Oryctolagus cuniculus: one gene and its partners. The protein of the gene in region 1 purifies or fractionates together with the protein of each later gene. This does not show direct contact. Links are inferred from orthologs where the notes say so. Each region holds a gene or a part of one and is shown in the gene's direction. Other genes may lie near its edges.

Evidence for each region. Proteins that work in one complex are often made in the same cells at the same time.
Region 2: the proteins of EZH2 (region 1) and USP44 purify together in Homo sapiens (affinity purification with western blotting; 3 studies listed by BioGRID, with this or other methods). This does not show direct contact. The link is inferred for Oryctolagus cuniculus from reciprocal best matches to the Homo sapiens genes EZH2 and USP44.
Region 3: the proteins of EZH2 (region 1) and CHD4 purify together in Homo sapiens (affinity purification with mass spectrometry; 5 studies listed by BioGRID, with this or other methods). This does not show direct contact. The link is inferred for Oryctolagus cuniculus from reciprocal best matches to the Homo sapiens genes EZH2 and CHD4.
Region 4: the proteins of EZH2 (region 1) and ARID1A purify together in Homo sapiens (affinity purification with mass spectrometry; 3 studies listed by BioGRID, with this or other methods). This does not show direct contact. The link is inferred for Oryctolagus cuniculus from reciprocal best matches to the Homo sapiens genes EZH2 and ARID1A.

The regions. Positions count from the first base shown.
Region 1 is NC_091434.1:174,689,081-174,694,190, forward strand, and holds the start of EZH2 (histone-lysine N-methyltransferase EZH2), read left to right. Parts: upstream 1-1,767; 5' UTR 1,768-1,784; coding exon 1,785-2,035; intron 2,036-2,500; exon of another isoform or gene 2,501-2,830; intron 2,831-5,110. UniProt on the Homo sapiens protein: Polycomb group (PcG) protein. Catalytic subunit of the PRC2/EED-EZH2 complex, which methylates 'Lys-9' (H3K9me) and 'Lys-27' (H3K27me) of histone H3, leading to transcriptional repression of the affected target gene.
Region 2 is NC_091442.1:98,429,206-98,433,569, reverse strand, and holds part of USP44 (ubiquitin carboxyl-terminal hydrolase 44), read left to right. Parts: coding exon 1-714; intron 715-4,364.
Region 3 is NC_091440.1:102,921,937-102,926,300, forward strand, and holds part of CHD4 (chromodomain-helicase-DNA-binding protein 4), read left to right. Parts: intron 1-2,067; coding exon 2,068-2,419; intron 2,420-2,505; coding exon 2,506-2,594; intron 2,595-2,693; coding exon 2,694-2,827; intron 2,828-3,165; coding exon 3,166-3,310; intron 3,311-3,422; coding exon 3,423-3,588; intron 3,589-3,623; exon of another isoform or gene 3,624-3,759; intron 3,760-3,845; coding exon 3,846-3,943; intron 3,944-4,029; coding exon 4,030-4,159; intron 4,160-4,364. UniProt on the Homo sapiens protein: ATP-dependent chromatin-remodeling factor that binds and distorts nucleosomal DNA. Acts as a component of the histone deacetylase NuRD complex which participates in the remodeling of chromatin.
Region 4 is NC_091438.1:144,722,174-144,726,537, reverse strand, and holds part of ARID1A (AT-rich interactive domain-containing protein 1A), read left to right. Parts: intron 1-22; coding exon 23-173; intron 174-265; coding exon 266-400; intron 401-480; coding exon 481-577; intron 578-993; coding exon 994-1,885; intron 1,886-2,228; coding exon 2,229-2,359; intron 2,360-4,364. UniProt on the Homo sapiens protein: Involved in transcriptional activation and repression of select genes by chromatin remodeling (alteration of DNA-nucleosome topology).

The DNA.
Region 1 (5,110 bases):
CCACAGCCTGTGACAACCACAGATCTAGCTTCCTGCTGATGTGACTGGGAATGTGGCAGAGGATGGCTGAGTGTTAGGCCCCTATCATCCCATGAAAGACCAGGATGGAGATCCTGGCTCTTGGCTTCTGTCTGGCCCAGACCTGGCTGTTGCAGCCATTTGGGGAGTGAACCAGCAGATGGAAGATCTCTGTCACTCTGGCTTTCAAATAAATGAATGAATAAATATTTAAATAAGGTTCCCACTGTTTTAATACATATTAAAGGAGAGATAAAATCAATAATTTGATAAGCAATCTAGGTAAAAGTAGTTAATTTTTGAGATTTAAATAGTTAAGTCTAGATGGGAACATTTTACCATGGAAAATGATATGTACTGGTGACATTAACAGAGTTCACTACTTTATAGTCACATTGAAGAGGCATAACATCTACTTCTGGACTCTTTCCAACATTTATTTGTAAGGTAATTTGGCTTTTACGGGGGCACATGATTGCTTTTTTTCTCTTTTGGCTTCCTGTCATATATTTTCCAGCACTTAATTGGTTCAGAATATATGAGGAATTAGATGTTGATTTAGCAAAGATGGGAAAATCATGGGCTAACTTACAAAATTAATTCATAAAACATTTTTTTAGGCTTTTTACCCAACAGTCCATAGTTGACCTTTTAAAAATTCCCAGCCTGATCTCCCAATGTGGGATCCCAGTGAAAAAGGGTATTTTGCCCTACAGATGCATCATATGGAAAACAACTTTGGAATACTTTTAACTTCGTCGCCAGATAAGGCACAGGAGAGATTGTACCCTAAGCAGTTTATCTCTGACGCCTTTGAGGCAGGTTAACACCCCCCCCCCCCATCACTTTCTAACCACCCCAAGACGCTGCCATCGCTTTAATACTCTGCAGAGACGTAGCGTGAGGCACGTGAACCGCACGCAGCCTGAATAAACACATTTTAACGCTGGCACGTGCTTGGAACGACAATCACCAGGAAGGGTCCGAGAGGGGCGCTTTCCACGACAAAGGGGCCCTAACCGTCCGGCCTCTCGGCCCCAGGTTTCTACGGGTAGGCACCGCAGGCTCTGCCGGCTTCAGTCCAGCCGAGTGCGGGCGGGAAAGCGGCCGCCTCAGACCGAAGTAAAAGTGACGGCTCTCCCGGGGGGCGGGCGTGCGGGGCACCCGAGACCGAGGCCGCGCGGCAGGTCCGCCCGTAAACTCGGCGCCGCAACCCCGCTCCGCTCCGCGCGCCGCGCGCGGGGAAATCGGCGCGGCAGTTAAAACCGTTACCGCCCCCGAGTTTTGAATTGGTTCAAACTTGGCTCTCGCCGCCCGCCCCTCCCCCGCCGGGAACTCCACGGCGCCGGTTCCCGCCAAGAGCCGCGAGCGCGTAGCCCCGCCCTCCAGCCGGTTCCCGCCACCCCACCCTTCCCGCCTTCTGCCGGCGGCGGCCTCCGGGCCCCCACAGAGTTGCCCCGTCCCCGCCTTCCGTGCCCACCGCTTTCCCGAGAGGCGCCGAGCGTTCAGCCAAAGAACAAAGAGACGGCGGCGGCGGCGGCGGCGGCAGCGCTTCCACACGGTGAGCCGCGTCCCTCAGGCCGGGCCCCGCCGCTCGCGCGCACGCGCACCCGCGCGCCCGCCGGCCCGCGAGTCCCGAGCGCGCTCTGCGTGGGGCTCGCTCGGCGCCTCCGAGCCCGGCAGGCCCTGTGATTGGACGAGCGCCCGCCTCGCATCCCGCCAATCGGGGCGGCGCTTGATTGGACTGGGGGGGCCAAATAAAAGCGATGGCGATTGGGCTGTCGCGTTTGGCGCTCGGTCCGGTCGCGTCCGACACCCAGTGGGACACAGAAGGCAGTGGAGCCCCGGCGGCGGCGGCGGCGGCGGCGCGCGGGGGCGGTGCGCGGGAGCGGTGCGGGTTGGCGCGCGGGACGAAGGTAACGCGCGCTGTCGGCAGCTCGGCCGGCGGGGTTCCGGGAGTGCGACCCAGGGCGGCGGCGACGCGGGGACCTGCCCGCCGCTTCCTTGCCGGTCCCCGGTATCGTCCGAGCGGGGCTTCCCCGGTCGCCGCTCGCGCGGGCGCGGGGGAGGGGAGAGGGGAGACCCCTCTGGGGGGACCGTGTGAGGGGCGGGCCGGCCCGCGCGACCCCGCGAGCGGGGCAGCGCGGACCCTCCCCGGAGATGCGAGGAGGGAGCCGAGGCGTGCGCGGGGCGGGGGGTTCCCGGCGCCGGGGCTGCCCGCGCCGGGGCGCCGGGGCCGGGGGCGTTCCGGTGCCCGGTCCGGGTGGTCGCCCCGAGCTTCAGGTCTCCTTTGTGTGGCGGGGCCGCGGGAGCGCCCGGGTGGGACGGGACACACACAAGTTGGTGGGAGCGAGCCGCGAGTCCGCACTCAGACAAAGGACGGACTGTGTCTCCGGAGAGCTCGGCGTGAGGGCAGGGCAGGACGCGGGGGTCCCCGGCCGCGGGCGCGTGGGGGCGCGGGGCGCCGCGGGCGCGGGTGGGCAGGGCTCGGTCCCGCCCCGCGCCGGCTCCGGGCAGCGGCCGCGACGTGGGAACTCCGGAGGAGCTGGGCGTCTGACGTCTCCCGGAGACCCCGCGTCCGCCGCAGACCCGGGCTGGGGGCGCCTCCCCGCCGGGCTGCGCGTGAAGTTTGAGGGCAGCGCGGAGCTGGCGTCCGCCCCGCGGGTTTTGTTCGCCCCGAGGCCGTTCTGTGGAGTTCCCGCTTCATTGTGCGACCCCCTCCACTCAGCAGCACGGCTCTGCCGCGGGGTGACTTTTTGGAAATAGGAGGACGCACGAAGCGCGAGATTTCGGAAAACTTGGTGAACGCATAGTGAGTTCCCAGTTTTTAAAGAATCATACTCTTTTTTTTTTTTCCTAAGAAATTACAAGCTGTTTTGACTAACTTGTGTGGTACATCTGGGACTGGCGACAGGTGCTAACGAAGTCAACTGTCATTTAGTCGGCGATTATTTCCCAATCCCGAGGGGTTGAATGAAGATTTGATGGTAGAAATAGGTGATCCAGATAAAATGCCCATTCCGAATATGTGTTTAGGCTCTAGGGTTAGCAGTTTCTTACTAGTTGGTCTTGCTTTCCCTGAACAATAGCTTTGGTGAGTCTGAAAAGACTGGATGCAGAAGTGTTCGTTGCTTGAAAAATTGAATGTATGCTGCCCACAGTTAACCTAAAATTCCTTTGTTTTTCACCCAGGATCTGTGAAATTTAGATTCATTTGGAAATAAGAATCTTTATTTAAAGTGTTTTACTATGAGGTTTACTTTCTAGGTTTCAAGAAGTTAGGTTTAATTTTATGATGTTTTAATGTCACATAACATAGCACTTAAACCTTTAAAAATGACTAATTCTGGAATAGTGGAGTGTTGTCAATACGTGGGTTTTGGAGTTTATTTTCTATTACTCTTTGTTATTGAGCACTTAGAAGAATGCAGAACAAGTATATAGTCTTAACTGGTTTATTTAATTTTATTTGCAAGAAAATAAAAAATATTTAGGGCATATTTTAATTTCCTGTACATAATCCCCTTAAAATTAGGCATACAGGATTCTAGTCTGTTCTACTCTAGATATAAAGAATTCTATTCTCCATTTTTGGAGGTGTGTTGGGGAATGTAATGTTTAGAGAAAATTGCTCTTTTAAATTCTGACTTTTGTAGAAAGTGAATATGTTCCAAGAAAGGAAGTTAGAAAAACATAGGCTATCTTCTGATCACATAGTGTTCTATCTGAAGGTCAAATAAGCATCTACTAACTTGTGGTTTTAGAGACATGGAGACAAATACAGTCTAAAATTTTGTGTTACATCTATTTTGCAGCGTTTTGGACATCACTGAGCAACACATTCCAGGTGCTACTCTAAGGGTTGACATTATGAAATCACATTTACGTCCATGTTATTTGCTGACAATTATGTATTTAAAAATAGTAGTAACCTTGGGTATTTTGTTATGAGCTAGTTGTGCAGATTTTTGGCAGAAATTTTGGTATTTTAGGATAAGAAATTCTAATTTTGCCCTTGTGTATTCTGTATTTGATAATCACTATCTGTACTTGCCATAGATATTTTTTAAAAAAGTCTGAGAAATTGGTTTAAACTTTGTTTTAAATTATTTTTGAAAGCTTTATGAATCTTTTAATTTAGAATTACTTAGTTTAAGTAGCAATATAAAAAGCACTTGTTGATTTAGTGTAGTTAGATAAAACAAAAATACTTTAATATTGGCTTTGCTTGCACGTGTACATATAAATGATGGTCTGTTTTGGCCATTTAAAAATTTTAAGGCAGATTTCTCTAGGTCACACTGGAGTTTTTCCAGGATATCTTTTATCCTTTGAAGTGGCATTCTCAAGGGATGTAAATTTAATTTATTATTAACCTTTAAATGAGCCATGAGTAAGAAAGTTGGCCTGCTTCTTTTAAAAAACTGACAACTCGGTTGATCATACAATGAATTTGGGGGTCACTGAGAAATGATATATGAGTTATCCTTGAAGTCTTTATGCGTGTATTGTTGATGAATACATTTTTTGTAAATGATGACGAATTCTCTATGGATTGGTGAAACCATTAGTTTGAATGAGAGCATAAGTGGAGACAAGCAATTTGTTAAATTCAGAGAATGGTTCCTGATCAGATGATGAACTTTACCTTCCAGAGGCCCTCCCGCAATTTCCAGGCACTCTTGTGTTCTCAGAAGTCTTTGTTCATACTGTTATTACAGTATGTATCAAATTGTATTGTAATCACTTGTTTATGCATTGGGCTCCTTCACTGCATTCTAACTGCCTGGAGGCAGAGGCTCTCTTATTTTTCTTAATATATACCTAGCACTTACGTTGGCAGTTGCTAGAAAACACGGACTTTAATAATTGAACGAATTAAGAGAATATGGAAAATATAGGGAAATCATTTGACAGAGGAACTTGCAAAGCAATCAGGATATATTTGTGTTATAGAGAACTTTGGAAAATATTTTTCCTCCATTTCTGAGAAGCAGTGATTATAAAGAAAAATAATTGTCAAGATAAATTAGTCTTTAAGGTTCTTCCTAGTTATAATTTATGATATTGAAAATTAGAAGTCCTTTAGGTA
Region 2 (4,364 bases), on another chromosome or scaffold:
TCACCAGCAAAACATAAAGTGCTACCTACCTCGGAAGATGGAACATTTAAAAAAGTCAGAGACTCCTCAGTTAACAGAAGGCCAGAAGTAACTCCTGGTGTAACAGGATTGAGAAATTTGGGGAACACTTGCTATATGAATTCTGTTCTTCAAGTGTTGAGTCACTTACTTATTTTTCGACAATGTTTTTTAAAGCTTGATCTGAACCAATGGCTGGCTGTGACTACCAGCGATAAGACCAGATCTTATAAGCATCCCGCCGTAACAGATACAGTAGCACATCAAATGAATGAATGCCAGGAAAAGGATATAGGCTATGTTCGCTCCAGACATCCAAGTTTATCATCAGGATTAAGTGGCGGAGCATCAAAAAGTCGAAAGATGGAACTTATTCAAGCTAGGGAGCCAAGTTCACAATACATTTCTCTTTGTCATGAATTACATACTTTGTTCCAAGTCATGTGGTCTGGAAAGTGGGCCTTGGTCTCACCGTTCGCTATGTTACACTCAGTGTGGAGACTCATTCCTGCTTTTCGTGGTTATGCCCAACAGGATGCTCAGGAATTTCTTTGTGAACTTTTAGATAAAATACAACATGAACTGGAGACAACTGGCACCAGCTTACCAGCTCTTATCCCCACATCCCAAAGAAAACTTATCAAGCAAGTTCTGAATGTTGTGAATAACATATTTCATGGACAACTTCTTAGTCAGGTATGGATTTGTTAAAATCCTATTTTCATCTTAGGGAATTTATATAAAGTTAAGCATAAAACACGACATAGTCTATGTGCATCTAGTATGCTGAAGGTAGTACAGTTTTTAGATCAAAATTAATGGTTTTATAAAAGTGCATAAAGAAGTCAACTCACTCATTTACAATTCTTTTCCTTCATGAATCCCTGGAAAAAGTTTCATGTCCCTACTATCAAAAGTTTGTGGGGGGAAGCGAGGAATCAAGAAGCACTTTTTTATTTATTTATTTTTTTAATTTGAGAGATAGTTACAGAGGGAGAGAGAGAAAGAAAGGTCTTCCATCTGCTGATTCATTTCCCAGATGGCTACAATGGCCGGAGCTGAACCAATCTGAAGCCAGGAACCAGGAGTTTCTTCCGGGTCTCCTATGTGGGTGCAGGGGCCCAAGCACTTGGACCATCTTCTGCTGCTTTCCCAGGCCATAAATAGAGAGCTTGACATGAACCAGTGCCCATATGGGATTCAGTATCTAAAATCTCAGGCACTATGGCATAGCAAGTTAAACTGCTTGGGACACCTGTATTCTACTTCTTATCCAGCTTCCTGCTAATGCAGCCAAAGGAGGCAGCAGATGGTGGCTGCAGTGTTTGGGACACTGTCATCCATGTGGAGACCCTGATGGAGTTCTTGGTTCTCTGGCTTTGACCTGGCCCCACCCTGGCTGTTGTAGGCATCTGGGGAGTGAACCACCACATGTAAGGTCTGTCTCTCTGTCACTCTGCCTTTTAAGTAGATGAGATAAAATGCTTAAAAATCTGAAAGTTGTTGTATGTCAGCATGACATTCCAAAAGGTTTAGTTTTGGGGCATTTCAAATTTTGGATTTTTTAACTAGGGATACTCAACCTGTATAACATTGATTCTCCAAGGTGTTAAGAAGAGGTATTTGGTCCTAGCAGTAAAAGGTTTAACCATGCTGCTGTATTAAGAATGGATATGGTGCACACTTGAGCAATTTCAAGGTCCAAGGAGTAGACCTAGAGCACTTGATAAAAGGGCCAAGGATCAAGGTCTGATAGTTTTAACAAGTAGATGGGGAAATTTTAAGGTGACCAAACTGTTTAAATCTAGAACAATCCTAATTTCAATTACTAGGTTAAAGTTTGATTTGTTGTGGAAAGGGAGATTACAAAACTAGAATCTTCCATATGATTAATGATTCTCTATAATGAGTAGAGTTGTTGGTGAATAATTACTGGACGTAAGGCTCTCTACTTTTCCATAGCACGAAACTTAAAAACATTTCTCAAAACTGAGACAGATTTTTAGGCCATTTTCTTCTCCTTGCATACCTTCCACCTTTCCTGAATTCAACCTGCATTGCAACAATGTCACCTTTTATTTTATAGAATACTTCTTTAGAATATTTGGATGTAATTCTTAAGTAATATCTATGAATTTTATTTTGGTAAATATTTCAAAACTGTAGATTCTGCAATGTGCCAGTTAACAAATAAGGTTATACTTGTTGTATACCATGCAATTTAATTTTCCTATCAACTTTGTTTTCTTTTCTATGCAAAAGTATTAAAATATACTGTAGTGAAATATATAGTTGTAGAAAACCTATATTCCCATAATACAGGAAATTTATATAAAAAAAAACTCATTACCTAATCCCAAAAATCACATAATCCATAAACAGAACTAAATATTTTGGTATATTTCTTTTCAGGTTTTCCTCCTGCATGTAAATAAATATTTTTTCCATAATCATTTACATTTTCCTGCTTTTTTCATTTGATATTGTAAAGTCCATACTTTAATGACTACTCCATAGTCACTAAAAATATTTGAATATTTTTAAAACATTGTTTATCATAAGTTTATACCATAACTTATTTAACTATTGCCGTTGACTTATACACTATTTCCAGTTTCCCCAATGAATATCATGATAAATTTATTTTTCTGATTTCCTTACAACAGAGTCCTAGTAGAATTACTTTGTCAAAGGGTAGGACTTTGATGCAATGACAAATTTCTTTTCAGAATGGTGATTTTTTTTGTTTGTTTGTTTTTACCATTTATAGTTCAAAAGATGTGACTGGCCCTGTGCCGTTTTTCCCCCCTTTATAAATGAATTTTGAAATTTTTATATAAGCTTTTTGTTTCACTTCCTTTAAACATGAAGTAAACTCTTAGGAAATTGGTTCACAGGAAATTCTAACAATTGGTTGCTGGAATGAGTTTTTTCTTTAATTCAAGAAACTTCTAGGCTGGCGCCGCGGCTCAATAGGCTAATCCTCCACCTAGCAGCGCTGGCACACCAGGTTCTAGTCCTGGTCTGGGCACCGGATTCTGTCCCGGTTGCCCCTCTTCCAGGCCAGCTCTCTGCTGTGGCCCAGGAAGGCAGTGGAGGATGGCCCAAGTGCTTGGGCCCTGCACCCCTGGGAGACCAGGAGAAGCACCTGGCTCCTGCCTTCGGATCAGCGCGGTGCGCCGGCCGCAGCGCGTCAGCTGTGGCGGCCATTGGAGGGTGAACCAACGGCAAAAAGGAAGACCTTTCTCTCTGTCTCTCTCTCTCGCTATCCACTCTGCCTGTCAAAAAAAATAAATAAAAAAAAATTAAAAAAAAGAAAAGAAACTTCTCAAAAGGTAGGCCCCTAGCACACTGTTCCATGTTGGGTTTTTGTTGTTGGGTGAGTAATTTATTTATTTTGAGAAGAGACAGATATCCCATTCATTGATTCACTCCCCAGATGCCCACAATAGTTGGGGCTGGGCCAGTGGAAACCAGGAGCTGGAAACCCAGTCTGAATCTGCCAGGTGGGTGGCAGGGGCCCAATTAATTGAGCCATTATCTGCTTCTTTCAGACCACTGATGAGCAGGAAGCTGGAACCCAAACCTAGACACTTTGATAGGGGCTGTGGGCACTCCCAGTGGCATCTTAACGACTTTGAATGAGGATTTTCATGTGATATTTGCCATAAGGGGGAATACGACATTATTTATATGTACTGTTATTTGAAATTATTAGTAAGGCTTCAAATTCTGAAAATGAAAATATAGTATTTTATTATGGTTAAGACAATGGATTGGGTTAAAAGGTTTTAGGATTTGGGGTGAAAAAAATCTTGAAAGATCTTTTAGTTCTATTTTTCACAAAGTTTTTGAAGTACCCTGTGTGTGTATATATATATTTATATATACATACTTATACACACATACATGTATGTACACATATTTATGCACACATATAATATATAATAGACAAATTAAATGAATACATAGCTTGGATTGTTACTTAAATTATAGATTAGATTAATACTCTTAGAGCAGGGCTGGCGCTGTGGCTCACTTGGTTAATCCTCCGCCTGCGGTGTCGGCATCCCATATGGGTGCTGGGTTCTAGTCCCGGTTGCTCCTCTTCTACTCCAGCTTTCTGCTGTGGCCTGGGAATGCAGTGGAGGATGGCCCAAGTGCTTGGGCCCTGCACCCACATGAGAGACCAGGAGGAAGCACCTGGCTCCTGGCTTCGGATCAGCGCAGCACGCCGGCTTTAGCAGTCATTTGGGGAGTGAACCAACGGAAGGAAGACCTTTCTCTCTCTCTCTCTTTCTCTCACTAACTCTGCCTGTCAAATAAAAAAAAAAAAAATACTCTTA
Region 3 (4,364 bases), on another chromosome or scaffold:
AAACTTCTTTTCCATTTCTTGGTCTTTTTTAGTAAAAACCAAGAAACAATGCACAGGTGGTGATCTTTTCCCTCCATAAATGATAGAGTATTACAGTGAAGAATGAGGGGCTGCCGTTGTGGTGCAGCAGGATAAGCGGCCCCTTGCAATACCGCCATCCCACAGCAGAGTGCCAGCTGAGTCCTGGCTGCACTGTTTCTGATTCAGCTCCTTTTAATGTGCTGGGAGGCAGCAGAAGATGATCCAAGTACTTGTGTCCTGACCACTGGTGTGGGAGACCCATATGGAGATCTTGGCTCCTGGTTTCAGCCTGGTCTGGTTGTGGGCACTGGTGAGTGAACCAGCAGATGGCTAATCTCTTCTCTCTCCCTCTGTCTCTCCCTTTGCCTCTCAAATAAATAAATATTTAAAATATTTATTGAAAAATAAAGTTTGCTTTCTCCTCTGGTCTCCGTTAAACCATTGAACTTGGGGTTCTTTGAATTGGCAGAAAGAGGTATTTGGTTATCTCTGACATCTTTTCTCATCCTTTGGACCCAGAAACATTCTTGTGTTTTTCTCATTTATAACTGTTGTCTTTGCTCTTGAAGGTGATGCTACTAACCTCAGTTTATGTGTGCCTGTGGCTGAAAAGCCTGATGTAGCTCTCTAGACCAGCGGCACTCAATCAGAATCGCCCTGCGTGCCTTTCCGCAGCAGTGCGTGCACCTGGGCATGCTTGACTGGGACAGCGAGTGCCCACTTGGTCATCTCTGCTCGTGACTGCACGAGAGTACAAGTTATTGTCGGGGTAGTGACCACAGCTGCCGTGTACTTTGAAAATAGTTTTCAGTTTTATTGTTTGAATAAGTAGTAATTCATATGGTTTAAATCTCAACAGATACAAGGTGGTCACATGGCTCAGTTTCAGAAGACACAAAAGTATCTCACTCTGTGCTCTGCCTGCCTACTTTCCTTCTCTGGGGGGAGGGGAAGCTGATGTTCAGCTTCTTACCTGTCTCGCCAAAAATATTTTATGTGCCTACAAATTATACATGCACATGTTCATACCATATGTACACATATGCACACATCTGTATGCACACAAACACCTTGTTTACTTTTAAGCACAAAAGTAATTCATGGTATGTAATGTTTTCACCTTGCTTTTGTATACTTAGTGGATCTTGGAGATAAACAGGAATCAGAACATAAAGACCCGCCTCCCCCTTATTTCTCGCTGAATATTATGTCCTTGTTTGGAAGGACAGTGTTACTTCCCTGAAATGCTCGGGACCAGAAGTGTTCCAGATGCTGGAGCTCTCAGATCTTGGAATATTTGTGTGGACTTCGCAGCTGAGCCTGCCTGATTGGAAAGTCAGAAGTCTGAAATGCTCTGAGATCTGAATCTTCTCGAGAATCAAGTTTTGGATTTTGGATAAATTTGTATTTTGGGTTTCAGTTAGTTGCATAATGATGGACCACCTGGTTTGTTTTTAATATTATGCTATTAGCACTAGCTTAATTCTAGTATAAAAGATTAGGAGTTAATCAGCGATCATGAAATGTCTGAAAATTACAACTTCTATAAGACTTTCCGAGAAGCATGAGAGGATATATATAATCTTGTTGTTTTGTTTTTGCAGATAGTTGGTAAACTTCTGTGAAGTTTATGAAGAGCGCAGGGCTTGTGGCCCTTTAGTTTTCTCTCTGAAGCTCTTTTGCAGTATTACAGAAGCCTCCCCGCTCTGCCTTGCTAACCTTTCTTTCCTTCCTCTTGTGCCTCCCAACTCTATGCGTCTCAGTGGAAAGGGCTGGAAGAAAGCACACTGTCCCTTCCTCCCTCTCTTGAGATCACAGCTGTGACACGTGTGCTTCTTCAGTGTGTTGACTCCTACTCCACGTAATTATGAGGCGCCGTGTGCTGTCCATTTAATCTGTTCTAAGTTCTTAGGTCCCAGCAGGCATGCCAAGTACTCGAGAGGCCAGTTGTGAAAAGGAGCTAGCAGAATGGGAACCGTGAGGGCCAGGGGTAGCTGGTGGTGCTGAATTCAGCACCCCTGAGTCCTGGCCCACCCTCTGTCCCAGGAGGAAGAGGAGGTAGAACGGGAAATCATAAAACAGGAAGAAAGTGTGGATCCTGACTACTGGGAGAAATTGCTGCGGCACCATTATGAGCAGCAGCAAGAAGATCTAGCCCGAAATCTGGGCAAAGGAAAAAGAATCCGTAAACAGGTCAACTACAATGATGGCTCCCAGGAGGACCGAGGTGTGTGTGGCCGGCCCCGCCCCCCACCCATGGGCCGTTCCACTAGAGCAGTGGGCCCCGCTCATCTGCCCTCTCTCCCTCCAGATTGGCAGGACGACCAGTCCGACAACCAGTCCGATTACTCGGTGGCCTCAGAGGAAGGTGATGAAGACTTTGATGAACGCTCAGAAGGTGAGGGCTGTGCTTTGCTAGTTGGCTCAGTAGTGCTTTATGTGCTGTCCCACCAGTGTCACTCACACACCCCTTTGTTCTTGCAGCTCCCCGCAGGCCCAGTCGCAAGGGCCTGCGGAACGATAAAGATAAGCCATTGCCTCCTCTGTTGGCCCGAGTTGGGGGGAATATTGAAGTAAGTGCTGTACAATTCTATTGGGGTGCCAAGTGCTGGTATTGTGTCTTCCATGAAGTGAGACCTGCTCCCATTCACCTGGATTTCCTTTCCCCCCAGGTACTTGGTTTTAATGCTCGTCAGCGAAAAGCCTTTCTTAATGCAATTATGCGCTATGGGATGCCACCTCAGGATGCTTTTACCACCCAGTGGCTCGTGAGAGATCTGCGAGGCAAGTCAGAGAAAGAGTTCAAGTGAGTTGAAGGCCAGGACAACCAGTCTAGAGCAAGGACTTCTACTGTTGGGTCTTTGCATGGTACTGGTCTGGGCTGTCCAGGGAAACAGGCTCTTTGCTTTGCTGACGTTGGCAGGTGAAGCTGTTTGTAATGGGAGTTCCTGGTTTTTGTAGCTTTCCTGGAAGAGAACCTGGGGGGCTATACAGAGCCTGCAGACCAGCCCCCCTCCCCGTGTTGGTGGGCTTTACTTCAAGGGGGAGCCGGGTCATTGCCTGTCAAGGCCTAACTGGTTGGCAAAGGTCTGATCTAGGAGTTGCTGCACTCCCTGTTTAACTCGTTTCTCTGCATTGCTACAGGGCCTATGTCTCTCTATTTATGCGGCATTTGTGCGAGCCGGGAGCAGATGGGGCTGAGACCTTTGCCGATGGTGTGCCCCGAGAAGGCCTGTCCCGTCAGCATGTCCTCACTAGAATCGGTGTGATGTCCTTGATTCGCAAGAAGGTGAGCGTCGAACTTCTCTCCATTAGTAAAGGTTTCAAGGGAAACTGGGGGCCAGCAGGAGAGGAGCCTAGGGCTGGACTTGGGTCTTCAGTGTCTTGTCCTGTGGTCACAGGTTCAGGAATTTGAACATGTTAATGGGCGCTGGAGCATGCCCGAACTGGCTGAAGTAGAGGAAAACAAGAAAATGTCCCAGCCTGGGTCGCCCTCCCCAAAGACTCCTACACCCTCTACTCCTGGGGACACACAACCCAATACTCCTGCACCTGCCCCACCTGCTGGTAAGTCTGCCTGTCGTGTCGCTTTGTCCCTGTCTCTGTCCTGGCCTGTGCCTCTCCTCGCCTGTGCCCAGTTCTCACAGGGGAGTCCGGCGGGACACACAGTACTCTCCCTCTCAGTTTAGGAGGCCGTCCTAAGAATGGGGCTGGTTCTTAAAGGCACGAGAGGACAATTTAAGATGAGACAGATGGGGGAAGGCGTGGCCACCTCTCTGATCTATGACTTCCTTCCTAATTGATTGTCTCCTGTTGGTCTGCAGAGGATGGGATAAAGATAGAGGAAAATAGCGTCAAAGAAGAAGAGAGCACAGAAGGTGAAAAGGAGGTTAAACCTGCAGCCCCCGAGGCCCCCATGGAGGTGAGAGGCGGGGTGGCCGGTGCCATGCTACAGGTGGATAGACGCTAGCCTGTCTGCTTCATCTTCTGTCTCTGTTTCTTTTGAAGTGTGCACAGCCCTCTGCCCCTGCCTCAGAGGATGAGAAGGTCGTTGGTGAACCTCCTGAGGGAGAGGAGAAAGTAGAAAAGGCAGAGGTGAAGGAGAGAACAGAGGAGCCTATGGAGATGGAGCCCAAAGGTAACCCCATTTTCTTTTCTTTTTTTTAAGATTTATTTATTTATTTGAAAGGCAGAGTTACAGAGAGACAGAGAGAGAGAGAGAGAGGTCTTTCATCCTATGATTCACTCCCCAAATGGCCATATGGGCCAGAATTGGGCCGATCCGAAGCCGGGAGCTGGAGCTTCTTCCGGGTCTTTCCCATGTGCAAGGGCCCAAGGAGTTG
Region 4 (4,364 bases), on another chromosome or scaffold:
CTGCCTTCCTTTCTGCATTCAGCTCCAGGGAATGATCCCTTCATGTCCTCAGGGCAGGGCCCCAACGGTGGGATGGGTGACCCCTACAGCCGGACTGCCGGCCCTGGGCTGGGAAATGTGGCGATGGGACCACGACAGCACTATCCCTATGGAGGTCCTTATGACAGAGTGAGGTAAGCATGGCCACTGCTCTTGTCCCGCCCTGGCACCCACTGCTCCAGCCATGATGCCCTCGAACTCAAACCACTGCTCTAATTTTGTCCAGGACGGAGCCTGGACTCGGGCCTGAGGGAAGCATGGGCACGGGGGGCCCCCAGCCGAATCTTATGCCTTCCACCCCAGACTCGGGGATGTACTCTCCCAGCCGCTACCCTCCACAGCAGCAGCAGCAGCAGCAACGGTGAGTGCAGCCTGGTGCGAGGGGGGCTGCGGCACTGGCTCGGCCCTCGCCTGCCCTCATCCTCAGTCTCTCTCCTGCAGACATGATTCCTATGGCAATCAGTTCTCCACCCAAGGCACCCCTTCCGGCAACCCCTTCCCCAGCCAGCAGACCACAATGTATCAGCAGCAGCAGCAGGTGAGGAGGGAAGCTGGGAATGGGTTCCCTTCACAGCCACCCTGTGGAAGTCTAAGAGCTGGTTTGGGTAGCTGGGTGTCCTCTCGCCCAACTAGCCAGTTCTGCCTGAAGAGCCGGGTCCTCAGTCTGGTCCCCCCAGTCCTCCAAAAGGGCTAGAAAGGGACTTGATTTTGATTTTTGAAGTTTTGCACGTTTTTTAACTTGGAGACTAGCGAGGAAGAAAGAGTGGTGGTTTCTTTGAGAAACAACTTAAGAAGATGCTTTGTAAAAGTGATTCCTTGTTCTCTTGGAGTCTTGAGTGCTCTCTTCTGAAGCGACAGATATAAGCCGAGTGTCCAGGTGTAGCATCCTAGCATCTGTGGGTTTTGTGTCTCTGGGGGCAGAGTATTAACTTTCCCTCTGCTTATCTCTTTTAGAATTATAAGCGGCCAATGGATGGCACATACGGCCCTCCTGCCAAGCGGCATGAAGGGGAAATGTACAGTGTGCCGTACAGCACTGGGCAGGGGCAGCCTCAGCAGCAGCAGTTGCCCCCAGCCCAGGCCCAGTCTGCCAGCCAGCAGCAAGCTGCCCAGCCTTCCCCTCAGCAAGATGTGTACAACCAGTACGGCAATGCCTATCCTGCCACTGCCACCGCTGCTACTGAGCGCCGACCAACAGGCGGTCCCCAGAACCAATTTCCATTCCAATTTGGCCGAGACCGTGTCTCTGCACCCCCTGGCTCCAGTGCCCAGCAGAACATGCCACCACAAATGATGGGCGGTCCCATACAGGCATCAGCTGAGGTTGCTCAGCAAGGCACCATGTGGCAGGGGCGTAATGACATGACCTATAATTATGCCAACAGGCAGAGCACGGGCTCTGCCCCCCAGGGCCCCACGTATCATGGTGTGAACCGAACAGATGAAATGCTGCACACGGATCAGAGGGCCAACCACGAAGGCCCGTGGCCTTCCCATGGCACACGCCAGCCCCCATATGGTCCCTCTGCCCCCGTGCCTCCCATGACAAGGCCCCCACCGTCTAACTACCAGCCCCCGCCAAGCATGCAGAATCACATTCCTCAGGTATCCAGTCCCGCCCCCCTGCCTCGGCCAATGGAGAACCGCACCTCTCCCAGCAAGTCTCCGTTCCTGCACTCTGGGATGAAAATGCAGAAGGCAGGTCCACCAGTGCCTGCCTCGCACATAGCACCTGCCCCTGTGCAGCCCCCCCTGATTCGGCGGGACATCACGTTCCCACCTGGCTCTGTTGAAGCCACACAGCCTGTGTTGAAGCAGCGAAGGCGGCTCACAATGAAAGACATTGGTAAGGAGAACTCCCTGCCTGGGTTGCTTAATCTGCCCCTTCCCACCTTGTCCGTTGTTTCTGCAAGCCTCATATTCTGGATAAGGTTGTATCTGGTCCAGTGTTGACTAAAAACCACAGAACTTGGGGTAAGGAAGAACTAAGCTGATGCCAGGTTCAAGGCCTTGCCATGCAGCGATGCCCCAGGGAGCTTAGACGCTGTGAGAGGCAGGTGTGTGTCATCTCTGGGTGAACCACCTTCCACCTCGTATGTCTCCAGAGTAGCCTGACTGATGGGGCAGCCCTGGGGTTGCCTCCAGCCAACCTGGGCTTGGTGGATGGACGACACAGAGGTTTATTTCAGGAACCCCGGAGGCATGGCGGGTAATGATGTCCCTCAAGTCTGGGCTCCTGGCAGAGAGCACGTGGGCATTAGACACCATTAACATCCTTCTGTATGACGACAACAGCATCATGACCTTCAATCTCAGCCAGGTGAGTACAGATTGCAAGGGCCCAAGGTCCTCTTCACACAGGTTAATACTAAATGGTACGGGGATGAAGCAGATGCCAGCCCATGTGGCCTGCCTCTCTCAGCCATCTTCTTGCTGGTATGCTGCTGTTTCTCTTGCCACTGGACACTGGCTCAGGACATTGAGAGCAGTAACAATTTGTGTATTCTATGTAAGAGACAATTACTGGTATTGGTTAAAGAAAAACTTGATGTTGGTGAGGATGCCATATTTTCTAGACCTGAGCAGAACTGAGCAGAGCAATTTCCCTGCTTTTCCCTCTCTCGCTTCTCCTCTTGAGCAGAAGAGGTCTTTGTTGATGCCAGGAGAGAGACAGAGAGAAAGGTGTTCCTTCCGTTGGTTCATCCCCCCAAGTAGCCACACAGCCAGTGCATTGCGGCTGGCGCGCTGCGCCTATCCGAAGCCAGGAGTCAGGTGCCTCCCCCTGGTCTCCCATGGGGTGCAGGGCCCAAGGACTTGGGCCATCCTCCACTGCACTCCCGGGCCACAGCAGAGAGCTGGACTGGAAGAGGAGCAACCGGGACAGAACCGGCACCTCGGGCAGAGGATTAGCCTAGTGAGCCGCAGCGCCGGCCCTTTGTTTGTTTGTTTGTTTTTTAGGAGCTGCTTGTTTTAAATGATCATCTTTGCTTTCATTTTACTTGAAAAGCAGAGGGACAAAGACAGATAGACGTCATCTATCTGCTGATTCATTCCCCAGATTCCACAATAGCCGGGGCTGGGCCAGGCTGAAGCTGGGAGACCTGGAGCCTCCATCCGAGCCTCCCCTGTGGGTAGCAGGAACCCAAGTACTTAAGCCATCCCTGCTGCCTCCCAGGGTGCAGTCGCAGGAAGCTGGATGGGAAGCAGAGTTGGGACTCAAACCAGGCACTTCACTGTGGGCTGTGGGTGTGGGCATCCCAGATGGAGCATAACCACTGTGCCCAGCTGCTGCCCACTTCCTCCCACACCCCATGCTTTTGTCCGTTTCTGAAAGGTGCTTGCACATTTGATTCTGCAGACCAGCACGTGCACCTTGAGTTTTCCCAGTAGCTGGGAAGAGTTTGTGCTGCACCATCCTACTCTTTGTTTTGATAGTCTTTAGTACCTACCATCTTGTTGATCAGGGAGCTGATGGGGCATTGTTACTGGTGGTGACTGCTTACTGTGCCCTCACTTTTTGGCAGACCATTAATAATTTGTTTCGTGTCATCCTCAGAGCAGGCCATGTAGTAAATAGTAAATGAACTCAGTCTCATCCTGCCCAGTGGGATACTTCCGATTCCAAAGCCTGACTTGATTCTCATTGTATGATATCGCTCCCCATGAGAAAGTAAAGGAACAATTCTGATGGAGCAATTTCCATGTGCCAGGCGTTTAACATATTCCATTCGACCTCAGAGCAACCCTTGTAAACTTTTAGGAATATTGATCATTTCATACAGCTAGCTAGTTCCTGGAAAAAACAGATTTCAAACTTAGATCTTTCTGATCCAAAAGCCTGTATTTTTTTCCACTCTGCTGCAGCCAAAGAGTAATTTGACTGGAGATTAATGTTTTCTTTTAGAGGTGTATGGCCTGTATAAAAGATCCAAGCTGGAATTTGGGTCTCCTTAGCATTGGCTCAGACCAGCGTTTAGAGCTGAAGCCTTATCCCACTGCAAGGTTCATGGAGGTGTACCTCCTGGAACGTCGGGGAGTTTGGAGAGGAGCGTACATACGTCTGTCCACACTGCACTCTCTTCTCTTAGCTCCTGTTGAAGGAGATCATCCCTCTGTGCTGTGTAGCTTGGGCTCAACTTGGTAGTGGCCTGTGGCGAGTGTCACAGGAAAGACAGTTGTGGTGTCCATTGAGTAGGAAAACCAGCCTGATGAAGAAAAGCAAAAGAGTGGTTGGGAAACAGAGACAGAGACGGGAGGCTCTGGCGGGTGAGGTGCGGTGCTGCTGGCTGGCGTTTCCCTGCCACTGGAGGCAGGCGAGTGTGCAG